2 linked regions of the Arabidopsis thaliana genome follow. The protein of the gene in region 1 interacts with the protein of each later gene in a pairwise test. Each region holds a gene or a part of one and is shown in the gene's direction. Other genes may lie near its edges.

The links.
Region 2: the proteins of SHH1 (region 1) and CHR38 interact in a two-hybrid assay, tested with the Arabidopsis thaliana proteins (one study listed by BioGRID).

The regions. Positions count from the first base shown.
Region 1 is NC_003070.9:5,235,934-5,240,616, forward strand, and holds SHH1 (SAWADEE HOMEODOMAIN protein), read left to right. Parts: upstream 1-2,110; 5' UTR 2,111-2,162; coding exon 2,163-2,216; intron 2,217-2,295; coding exon 2,296-2,381; intron 2,382-2,540; coding exon 2,541-2,586; intron 2,587-2,675; coding exon 2,676-2,844; intron 2,845-2,921; coding exon 2,922-2,982; intron 2,983-3,248; coding exon 3,249-3,300; coding exon of another isoform or gene 3,301-3,324; intron 3,325-3,361; coding exon 3,362-3,505; intron 3,506-3,597; coding exon 3,598-3,780; downstream 3,781-4,683. Other genes in the region: ABCG35 (pleiotropic drug resistance 7), read right to left, coding at 1-640; CCMH (cytochrome c biogenesis protein family), read right to left, coding at 4,538-4,683. UniProt on the Arabidopsis thaliana protein: Involved in RNA-directed DNA methylation (RdDM). Required for the silencing of some endogenous RdDM targets and accumulation of 24-nt siRNAs, but not for the production of Pol V-dependent transcripts.
Region 2 is NC_003074.8:14,754,968-14,761,744, reverse strand, and holds CHR38 (chromatin remodeling 38), read left to right. Parts: upstream 1-1,659; coding exon 1,660-1,708; intron 1,709-1,822; coding exon 1,823-2,055; intron 2,056-2,151; coding exon 2,152-3,567; intron 3,568-3,671; coding exon 3,672-3,815; intron 3,816-3,904; coding exon 3,905-5,839; 3' UTR 5,840-5,947; downstream 5,948-6,777. Other genes in the region: AT3G42660 (transducin family protein / WD-40 repeat family protein), read right to left, coding at 6,044-6,436, 6,533-6,663, 6,761-6,777. UniProt on the Arabidopsis thaliana protein: Probable chromatin remodeling factor. Required for the initial establishment of DNA methylation and for accumulation of 24-nt siRNAs.

The DNA.
Region 1 (4,683 bases):
CCAACAAAAGCGTGGTCTTCCCGGAAGACGGAGGACCCAACAAAAGTGTCATCCTTGAAGGTTTGACGATACCAGAAACATCTTTGAGAATAGTAAGTTGTGCTTTCTTGGCAAGCCTAATTCCGATCATGCCTAGAGCAGCTTCTCCCATGTTTCTCACCGCGTTAAGAAGCGAAGGAAGAGATCTATCACCGGTGTAACAGTCAGCTTTCACAGTCAAGTGGTCGTACCTCACTTCTACTGTCGGAAGTTGGATCCCAACTCTGTCGATTCTGTTTCTTAGCTTTGTCAAGATCCGTTCGTTGTCCTGCTCTGCGACTTTGAAGACCATGTCGATGAACTTCTGACGTTCTTCGCCGTCAAGCTTCGTGACGTCAACTGCTTTGTTGAGGATTTGGTTACCGTAGACGTCGTCTTCGCCTAATTCAGGCATGAGACTTGTGCGGAGACGGTTGTAGGTAGGGAGTTTCTCGATGGAAGCCCATTTGAGAGCTTCTTCGTCTTCGTTGACAGATTTGGTTCGTCTAGAGCTTGTATTGAATATGTCTTCCATGTTTCTGCTTGCTTTGCTTACACTACGACTTATGGTTTGCCGCATACTCCCACCTCTGCTCATAGCATGAGCTGGATCGTAATCCATCTTTAGATCTTATGAATCTTGATCCTGTTTCTATTAAGTTAAGTGCTTCTTCTTCTTTCTTTTAGACTATTAGACTGATAGGATCCATATGTGAGTAGAAGAAACGGATGATATGTAAATTTCGTTGAAGAAAACAGAGAAAGAGATAAGCAAAGATGGTGTGTTTGTCAGTGCCTCTGCAGCATTGAGAGAGAAAAGAGTAAGGGACAATGACGAGTGCAAGCTCCCCCTCTGGTGCTCTCTGTTATTTTATCACAATCTCCAATGAAAACTATAAAGAAAAGCACCACTTGATTGTGCCTTTTAAATTCTTGTGATTATTATAGTAATCCATGCAATAATGAAACATCTTTTAACAGGATGGCCCATGTGGAAAATGAAGGATGCCTAGTCAATCATACACGAGTTAAAAATTCGATTTATACGTTTGTATAAGGTTGGTGCTTAATGATGTAGACAGGTTGTCTTTTTTTGGCTTGATTGGTTTTGTTTTTCCTCACCTTCTATTGTCAACAATAGAGCAGGTGGCCTTTTTAAATTAATAAAAGATTGACGGATTCAAGAGATGGCAATGGACCAATGGTGATAAGAATGAGAGGAGTGATTAGTGCAGAACAGGTATAGAAAATTTGGGACTTATGTAAGAAATTGAATTAGTCTACTACGATTAGTTATATTTGGTTATGACTTACTAGTAGACCTCGTACCAACTACACACAATCTACAAATGTCAAAGTAACTCGTTATGAGTTCAAACATCTTGACCCCAATTTATGGATGCTATTAGCTTTGTTAATCAAGTAAAGTTATAGTATATCTACTGCGTGCGTGATTAGTTAAATACCGTAATTAATACGTAACACAGAATGACAGCTATGTAACCGAGTACAAATCCCTGATTAAATTTTCTATGTTTGCGTGTTTGTGTCTCGGTCAAAATCAATCAGGGCCTTTGCCATCATTTTCAAATTTGTGCGTTTAAAATGCTTTAAAGCACGTGTAATTAACTAACTAATTACAATAATGTATATTTGATATGTTTAGTAACGAATCTTGTATTGGAGAAATAAGGGCCTGGGTTGTCGCCAACAAAAGAAGGTAGAGCCTTAGTGAGGATTAGCTGTGATTAAATTATATACTTATACATGCTATGATAGTATTTGATTAATAATGTCAGTAATCATGAATATTAATAAACACTCCACCACGCACCACCAGCTCATATGACTTGGAAGATTCCCCGCGGACGGGTTCCCTCATCCTGTCTCGATTGTTTCAAAGTCATTTATAAATATTAAATAATAGTACAGTTATATGAGTGTGGTTAAAATAAAATAATAGACGGTCCAAAAAACAAGCATATGGGTAATAAATTAGTGAGTTTAAGCCCATTTATATTATTATTATCCATTTTAGGCCCATTAACCCACTAAAGCTCACTGAACTCTGAAGGCATCAGTGTAGTAGCAAATTAGCTCAAGATCCTTTTCACTTCTTCTTCTTCTTCCTTGTGCGCTCGATAATGGCTGCTTCCGATGATTCCTCTCACTATTTCACCGAGTTTACCTTGTCTGAGGTTATCTATGCTTTCTATCATTCGTTTTCTTAGATTAGAGATTCATGCTTTGTGATCTTATTGCTCTTCTTATTCGAAGATTGTAGACATGGAGAATCTGTATAAGGAGCTCGGTGACCAATCTCTCCACAAAGATTTCTGTCAAACTGTTGCCTCTACTTTTAGGTACTTTATTCTGAATTTTACGAGAATTTGATCATGTGAATGTGTTTGTTAGAGAATCGAGACACAAGCATTTTGTGGATTTATAGGAATAGTAGGATTATTGATTTTCATGCACAGTATCTAAAAAATCTTTATGTCTTCTTCCATTTTCTCTTATAGTTGTTCTGTGAATCGGAATGGCAAATCCTCTATAACCTGGAAACAGGTGCGTCTCTTTTTTCTTCATAGAGCTAACTGGTAAAAAATGCAAATAGAGTAGAAATAACTTTTTTTTTTGAATCAAAATGTTTTCAGGTACAGATTTGGTTCCAGGAGAAGCTGAAGCATCAAAGCCAACCAAAATCCAAAACTTTGCCATCTCCCCCTTTGCAGATTCATGACTTATCTAATCCCAGTTCTTATGCTTCAAATGCCTCAAATGCTACCTTTGTTGGGAATTCTACCTTTGTTCAAACACGAAAAGGTTTTCCTTTTCTTGTGTGCCATATTTGATTCTTTTAGTTAACGCCTTATAACGCCTATGAACATTTTCATACACAGGCAAGGCCTCTGATTTAGCTGATCTGGCTTTTGAGGCTAAATCAGCGCGGGACTACGCGTGGTAAGAACGTTTCCTTGCATTGAATATCATGTTTCTATTTTTGCTTTAACTCTTGGACTACTGCTAGCATATGACTTTGTTAAGTGGCCTAAGTAAGAACCTGAAATGTGAACTCTCTGTTGATTGTTAACTCAACGAGGAATGCCCTTACCTATTCAGTGTGAACTTAAGAAAGAACGTTATTCATATAAAGCCTAATTTTTGGACTTGTAATATACGTTTGTGTTTTATATCTGTGCTTATTTGCTGGAATTCTGGTCTTTCAGGTATGACGTGTCTTCGTTCCTTACTTATAGAGTTCTTCGCACTGGTGAACTGGTAAGCTTTTTCTCTTTTGTTTAATGGATGATTTGTTTGCAACTAAGAGTGTCTGCAACAGGAAGTGCGTGTACGGTTTTCTGGGTTCGACAACCGACACGATGAGTGGGTAAACGTCAAAACATCAGTGCGTGAGCGGTCTATTCCTGTAGAACCATCAGAGTGTGGGAGAGTGAACGTTGGAGACCTGCTTCTATGTTTCCAAGTAAGGCTGACTTTGATCTAATTATGAAGGATGGAACATTTAACAAAAGAAATTTGAACTTAAAAATGAAAGTTGGGGTGGTTAATGAGCAGGAAAGAGAGGATCAAGCACTCTACTGTGATGGTCATGTTTTGAATATCAAGAGAGGGATTCATGATCACGCGAGATGTAACTGCGTGTTTCTTGTTCGCTACGAGCTTGACAATACAGAGGTAAGAAGATTGATCTCAGCCTTTTTGTTGGGTGTGGGAACTATTGACGAAGTTTTGTGTTAAGTGTATGTTCAGGAATCGCTGGGACTAGAAAGAATTTGCCGCCGCCCTGAAGAGTAATTTTTTTTGGTTTTGAAGTCATATTTGGAAGATGCAGTAAACTATGACTATATAGTATATGACTGACCCAAAAATGGAATAACATGCTCATGTATAGACTTCCACTACTAAGTACCTACCGGCCCTAGGATTCTATGTTAGTTTTTTTCTGTCAACTATGTGGAATAAAGTGCAAAAGCTTAGAATTGTAAAGGGAATGGTGATGGTACAATGTAATAATACCCAAATGCTTAACCAGTTAACACCCTATGTAATGTTCAACATACAGTCTCATTCTTGTGAGCAAGACTATTTCTTTCTGTTTACTCATTGCTTCTTGTATATACAATACGCAGGTCAATACATTTTGTGAGCTTCGGCTTATTAAGATAAAGATGTGGAAAAAAGCTCATTTAGCACAAAAACTATTTGGAAAGAAATAAATCTTTGTGCCGAAAGTAATATAACTATCGACCCGCTCTCTGTATTCAATCACACAGCAAAGGTACAACAAGTATCACACTTTCAATAATGCTTTCTCGATACATATCTCATCCCAAGATCTTCTACAGAAGAATCCATTTGCTTGTAATGGATGCAAAGCAGTCCCTATCTGTTTCTCCAAGACAATCAATGTGTACTCACTCTTTTCAACACATTGTTTACTTGTTAACACAACAAGATTCGAGCCAAGAACAAGAGAGCTAAGGAGACACGGGAACTACCGGTTGAGCCATCTCCTCAATCGGGAAACAACTCCCTGAGGAGGAGGGGAAGGTGGAATAAGAACATCAAGAATGGTAACTCTCTCTTTTGGAGTCAATGGTACACCTCTAATAAGGTTCAACGCCATGATGTCTACATTTT
Region 2 (6,777 bases), on another chromosome or scaffold:
TTTCTTTTCGATTCTAGTGAGAGCTGTTGCTAAAGCTAAAAAGAGAAAAAGATATTTAAGTAAAGTTTTCTATTAAACATTATATATTTTACTATCCATATCAAATCATGGAACATTCATAGCCACCCAAAACATTTTGAGTGCCACCAGCAAAAAAGGCCTAATCATATCAAAAAAAAAACATTTTTGTAAGTGTAAGAGTTGAACCTACTACCTATTGTTCTATCACCCAACGATTAACCAGTATAGTTATAAGAGATATTTGGAAAATAGATGACGGTTAATTAATAACTATATCTTATACCGTAAACACATGCTTCCCTAGCTTGTGACTAAGGCAGATTCTGGTAACAACTCATATTTTATGCATAAGATAAAGCTCACATAGACCTTGTTCAAAAGCATTACATATCCAACGATTTACAATAACTCTATCATTTACATTTCCAAATGTTATATATTTTAGTGTTTGTTTGATTTAATGGAAAAAAAAACAGTTTTGCATTAACTTTGTAAGGGATACAACAATTAAAAAAAGAGTCAGAAATAAAATAGAAAAATAATATAAACAAAAATAGAGAAATCTACTAAAGAAAACTAGATATTTGATCTTCCAACATATTAAACAGAAAAATAAAAAACTAAAGAGAAAAAAAATTAGAAATGGAGTAAAGAAAATACAGCAATTCACCGTTACCCTTAACTACTTTTTAAAATATTAAATGATATTTTCTTTTAGAATCTTGAAATAAAAATAAAAGTTTCTTTTTTGATATCAAAACCATATTAAAAACTCATCTTTTACTAATTTTAGTATAATAATTAAAAAACAAACTAAGTAAATGTTTTTGTTTTGTGCAAACTAAATGTTAAGTTCATGAATTTGTGTAAGATATTTTCCCTATAAACCTATCTCAATGTGGACCCAATAGGCCACCATGCACACAACTTGGCTTTTACTCTTTGTGTCAGTAAAATCTAAAGATAGTAAAGACAGACCAAATCGCAGCCGTTTATTTCCCATATAAAGAAGTACGTACATGGAAATGACAATAATACCCTCACTCCTTAAACCCTCCTCTTCTCTCACTTTATTTTTCAGTCTCTCTTTATTTCTCTCTATCACTTTTTATCGATTCTGCGCAAATTCATGCAAAAAGGGAAAATAAAAAGTTCTACACTGTCCCCAAGATTCTGCGTGAGTGTGGTATTGAATTCTTCGCCGTCCCTTTTCTATTTATCATATTTTGTTCCTTCTCTTATTTTCCTCTTAGTGTCAATCATGGACTAGAATCAACTCTCTTTTTCCCTCAAAGGTGATATATTGATTTTGTGTTCTGATCATAAAGTTGTGGTTTTTTCAATCTGGGTTTTGTTTGTTGTTGATGACGATCATGTTTCGTTTTTCATTTTGATACGACACTGTTACTCTGTTTTACACCTTTTTAGTACAATAATGTTGCTTTCGCACATTAACCAATATGATCAAGTTTTAAAGTTCATATATCATATATGTTCTGGGTTGTCTCTAGTTGCAGATAAAGTTTGAATCTTTTTTTTATTTGTCAAGTGGTGAATGAATCCTAATGAAGCTATACATGTATTGGTTACAGGAGATCATATGTGGATCCACAAGTGATCTTGAAGGGAAAGAAAAAAATGAAGAGAAAGCATTACTTTGAGTTTAACCATCCATTTAATCCATGTCGTAAGTGTTTTACAAGATCTGATGTTTTATTTTCTTACCTAAAATGTCATGCATTGAGATTTGAATGACTGCTGTTTCTTTACCTAAAATGCTCTGTTTTGTCTGTTGTGGTAGCTTTCGAGGTGTTCTGCTGGGGGACATGGAAGGCCGTGGAGTACTTAAGGATCGAGAATGGAACGATGACAATGCGTCTCTTAGAAAATGGACAAGTTTTGGATGATATAAAACCATTTCAGAGGCTTCGAATTAGATCAAGAAAGGCGACTTTGATCGACTGTACTTCTTTTTTAAGACCCGGTATCGATGTTTGCGTTCTTTATCAGAGAGATGAAGAGACTCCAGAACCAGTACATTCACTTTCTTCAATATGAAAGTCTTTAAATCTATGCGCATTTTTGCTGTTTTGAAACGTTTTGTGTGTGTGTGTGTGTGTGGTGGTGTAGGTTTGGGTGGATGCAAGGGTTTTATCTATAGAGAGGAAGCCTCATGAATCTGAATGCTTGTGTACGTTCCATGTCAGTGTTTATATAGACCAAGGCTGCATTGGTTTGGAGAAGCATAGAATGAATAAAGTTCCGGTACTCGTGGGACTCAACGAAATCGCCATCCTTCAAAAGTTTTGCAAGGAACAAAGCTTGGACCGTTACTATAGATGGAGATACTCTGAGGACTGTTCTTCGTTGGTGAAAACAAGACTAAACTTAGGGAAGTTCTTGCCTGATCTTACATGGTTGCTTGTTACATCAGTTTTGAAAAACATTGTGTTTCAGATTAGAACCGTTCACGAGAAGATGGTTTATCAGATTGTGACGGATGAAGATTGCGAAGGCTCTAGTAGCTCTTTGAGTGCAATGAACATTACGGTTGAAGACGGTGTTGTCATGTCTAAGGTTGTTTTGTTCAATCCAGCTGAGGATACTTGTCAAGATAGTGATGTAAAGGAGGAGATTGAAGAGGAGGTAATGGAGCTGCGTCGGTCCAAGAGAAGAAGCGGGCGGCCTGAGAGATACGGAGACTCTGAGATTCAGCCGGATTCGAAGGATGGATGGGTAAGGATGATGCCATATAGGTACAACATATGGAATGTTTCAAGTGATGATGATGATGAAGAAGAAGATTGCGAGGATGATAAAGATACTGATGATGATTTATACTTACCGTTATCGCATTTACTTAGAAAGAAAGGAAGCAAAAAGGGATTTAGTAAGGATAAGCAGAGAGAGATAGTTTTGGTAGACAAAACTGAGAGGAAGAAGAGAAAGAAAACAGAGGGATTTAGTCGAAGTTGTGAGCTTTCGGTTATTCCTTTCACTCCTGTCTTTGAACCTATACCGTTGGAACAGTTTGGTCTCAATGCAAATAGTTTGTGTGGTGGTGTCTCTGGAAATTTGATGGATGAGATCGATAAGTATCGTAGTAAAGCAGCGAAATACGGGAAGAAGAAGAAGAAGAAGATTGAAATGGAAGAGATGGAATCTGATCTAGGTTGGAATGGACCTATTGGGAATGTGGTTCATAAAAGAAATGGACCGCATTCTCGAATAAGGTCCGTTTCTAGGGAAACCGGAGTTTCTGAGGAACCGCAGATTTATAAGAAGAGAACGTTGAGCGCAGGTGCGTATAACAAGTTGATAGACTCGTACATGAGTAGAATTGATTCTACAATTGCAGCCAAGGACAAAGCAACCAATGTTGTTGAGCAGTGGCAAGGGTTAAAGAACCCCGCAAGCTTTTCGATCGAAGCCGAAGAAAGGTTGAGTGAGGAGGAGGAGGATGATGGCGAGACTTCAGAGAATGAGATTCTATGGAGGGAAATGGAACTATGCTTGGCTTCTTCTTACATTCTTGATGACCATGAGGTTATATATATATATACCTTTTGGAAATCTTTTTATATTTTCCTGAAAACATTCTTGATGACCATGAGCTTACATTTTTATATGTTTAATAGTTTGATTTGAAGTTTCAGGTGAGAGTGGATAACGAGGCGTTCCATAAAGCAACCTGTGATTGTGAACATGACTATGAATTGAATGAAGAAATCGGAATGTGTTGCAGATTGTGTGGTCATGTAGGAACTGAGATAAAACATGTTTCTGCACCTTTTGTAAGTGGAAACTCTATACCAGACAACATTTTGTCACCTACTTTCGATGAGTTACTTGTAATATATTTTGGTGGTATGGTTTTCGATAGGCGCGGCACAAGAAATGGACGACGGAGACTAAGCAAATCAACGAAGATGACATTAATACTACTATAGTTAACCAAGATGGAGTTGAGAGCCATACTTTCACTATACCAGTTGCTTCCTCAGATATGCCATCGGCTGAAGAAAGTGACAATGTCTGGTCTTTAATACCTCAGCTTAAGAGAAAACTGCATTTGCACCAGAAAAAAGCTTTTGAGTTTCTCTGGAAGAACCTAGCCGGGTCAGTGGTTCCCGCGATGATGGATCCGAGTTCAGATAAGATAGGTGGGTGTGTAGTTTCTCATACTCCCGGAGCAGGAAAAACATTTCTAATCATAGCTTTTCTCGCGAGCTACTTGAAGATATTTCCGGGTAAAAGACCTTTGGTTCTTGCTCCAAAAACAACTTTGTACACTTGGTACAAGGAGTTCATCAAATGGGAGATTCCGGTCCCTGTTCACTTGCTCCATGGTCGTAGAACCTACTGTATGTCCAAAGAGAAGACCATTCAGTTCGAGGGAATTCCAAAACCAAGCCAAGATGTTATGCATGTTCTTGACTGTTTAGACAAAATCCAGAAATGGCATGCACAGCCGAGTGTTCTTGTAATGGGTTACACATCGTTTCTAACTTTGATGAGGGAAGATTCAAAGTTTGCTCATAGAAAGTACATGGCTAAAGTACTGAGAGAGTCTCCTGGATTACTGGTTCTAGACGAGGGACATAACCCGAGGAGTACCAAGTCGAGATTACGAAAGGCCTTGATGAAAGTTGATACTGACTTGAGGATTCTGCTTTCTGGTACATTGTTTCAGAACAACTTCTGTGAGTACTTCAACACTTTGTGCTTGGCTAGACCCAAGTTTGTTCATGAGGTTCTAGTGGAGTTGGACAAGAAGTTCCAGACCAACCAAGCCGAGCAAAAGGCGCCTCACTTGCTTGAAAATAGAGCTCGGAAGTTCTTCCTTGACATTATAGCCAAGAAGATTGACACAAAAGTGGGCGATGAGCGCTTGCAGGGTCTCAACATGTTGAGGAATATGACGAGTGGTTTCATCGATAACTATGAAGGGAGTGGAAGCGGAAGTGGTGATGTTCTCCCAGGTTTGCAGATTTACACATTGTTGATGAATTCCACTGATGTACAGCACAAGAGTCTTACCAAACTTCAGAACATAATGTCAACTTACCATGGATATCCACTCGAGCTCGAGTTACTCATAACGTTAGCTGCTATCCATCCTTGGTTGGTCAAAACCACAACCTGTTGCGCCAAATTCTTCAACCCTCAGGAGCTTTTAGAGATTGAGAAGCTCAAGCACGATGCAAAGAAAGGATCAAAAGTCATGTTTGTGCTTAATCTTGTGTTCCGGGTGGTCAAGAGGGAGAAAATCCTCATATTTTGTCACAACATTGCGCCGATCCGCCTGTTTCTTGAGCTGTTCGAGAATGTATTCAGGTGGAAGAGAGGCCGAGAGCTCCTGACCTTGACAGGGGATCTCGAGCTGTTTGAAAGAGGCAGAGTAATAGACAAATTTGAAGAGCCAGGAGGCCAGTCCCGTGTTCTGCTGGCTTCGATTACAGCCTGTGCAGAAGGCATCAGTCTAACCGCTGCTTCACGGGTGATCATGCTTGATTCAGAGTGGAATCCTTCTAAGACAAAGCAAGCAATCGCACGTGCATTCAGACCGGGACAGCAGAAAGTGGTGTACGTTTACCAGCTCTTGTCGAGAGGAACACTTGAAGAAGACAAATACAGGAGGACGACCTGGAAAGAATGGGTCTCCAGTATGATTTTCAGTGAAGAATTTGTGGAGGACCCATCTCAATGGCAAGCTGAGAAGATTGAGGACGATGTTCTTAGAGAAATCGTGGAGGAAGACAAAGTCAAATCCTTCCATATGATCATGAAGAACGAGAAAGCTTCAACAGGTGGCTGATTGCTGAATTTTTCCAGTTCAAGTTTCTGTTTCACCATGCCTTTGATGATGATTCTTTAACAGCTTGTTGTATTGTAATATAAACTAATCCTGTATCATAAGTTTGTGTAATCATTCAGCTATAGCATCATAATATTTAATAAAGTGAAACAGATGTATTCATCATAATCTTGTTAAATAAAACAAAACCTCCAAATAAGATCATTAAACAGTTGATTTGAGGAACGGGTTTGAAGAACGTCGAGCTTCTCCTTGATTCACTTCCTTTTCCTGTCCCTTGTCTTCCTTGTTAACATTGTTCACCGGATTCTTCAAATTCAATTTCTTTATCTCTTTTATCTTCGCATCGTCACTTTTGTCTTTCTTTGTTTGTTCTTTTCCCAGCTTTAGACCTTCTGAAACTTTCGATTTCTTTAGAAGTGTAGGAGCAGATAGCTTAGTTGCAGAAGATTTCATAACTGCTTCTGTGTTTTCACTAGTCTGAATCGAAGCTGGAGGATTCTGGACCTTGGATTCAACTCTTGTAACTACTTCTCCGTTTGGATTCAGCGCAGGATTTGTTACCGCCGCCTCGCTAGCTTCTTCAAGCAACCTTTCCTGTTAGTGAAGAACCAAAAAATTAGCATTACGTCTGTATCTAATTTTTCTTCTCTTTTGTGCAAAATATAAGAAATGAAAGTACTTGTAGAGTACCTCGAGTATGCTGCTGAATTTCTCTGCCAAAAAAGGAAGCTTGAGTTTGGTAACCAGTGTTATTGCAGCTCTCATTGATTTTTCTAGAGTTAAAAGCTCCATAAGTTCACTGGCCCTTGCAAAACTATCACCTGAAAGATGTAAAGAATCTTGTTGTAAAAATCTGGACAGTAATGGTCTTAGAATATGAGTTCACACACAACACAAGCAGATATATATTTAACTTACTACTACAACACGAGCTG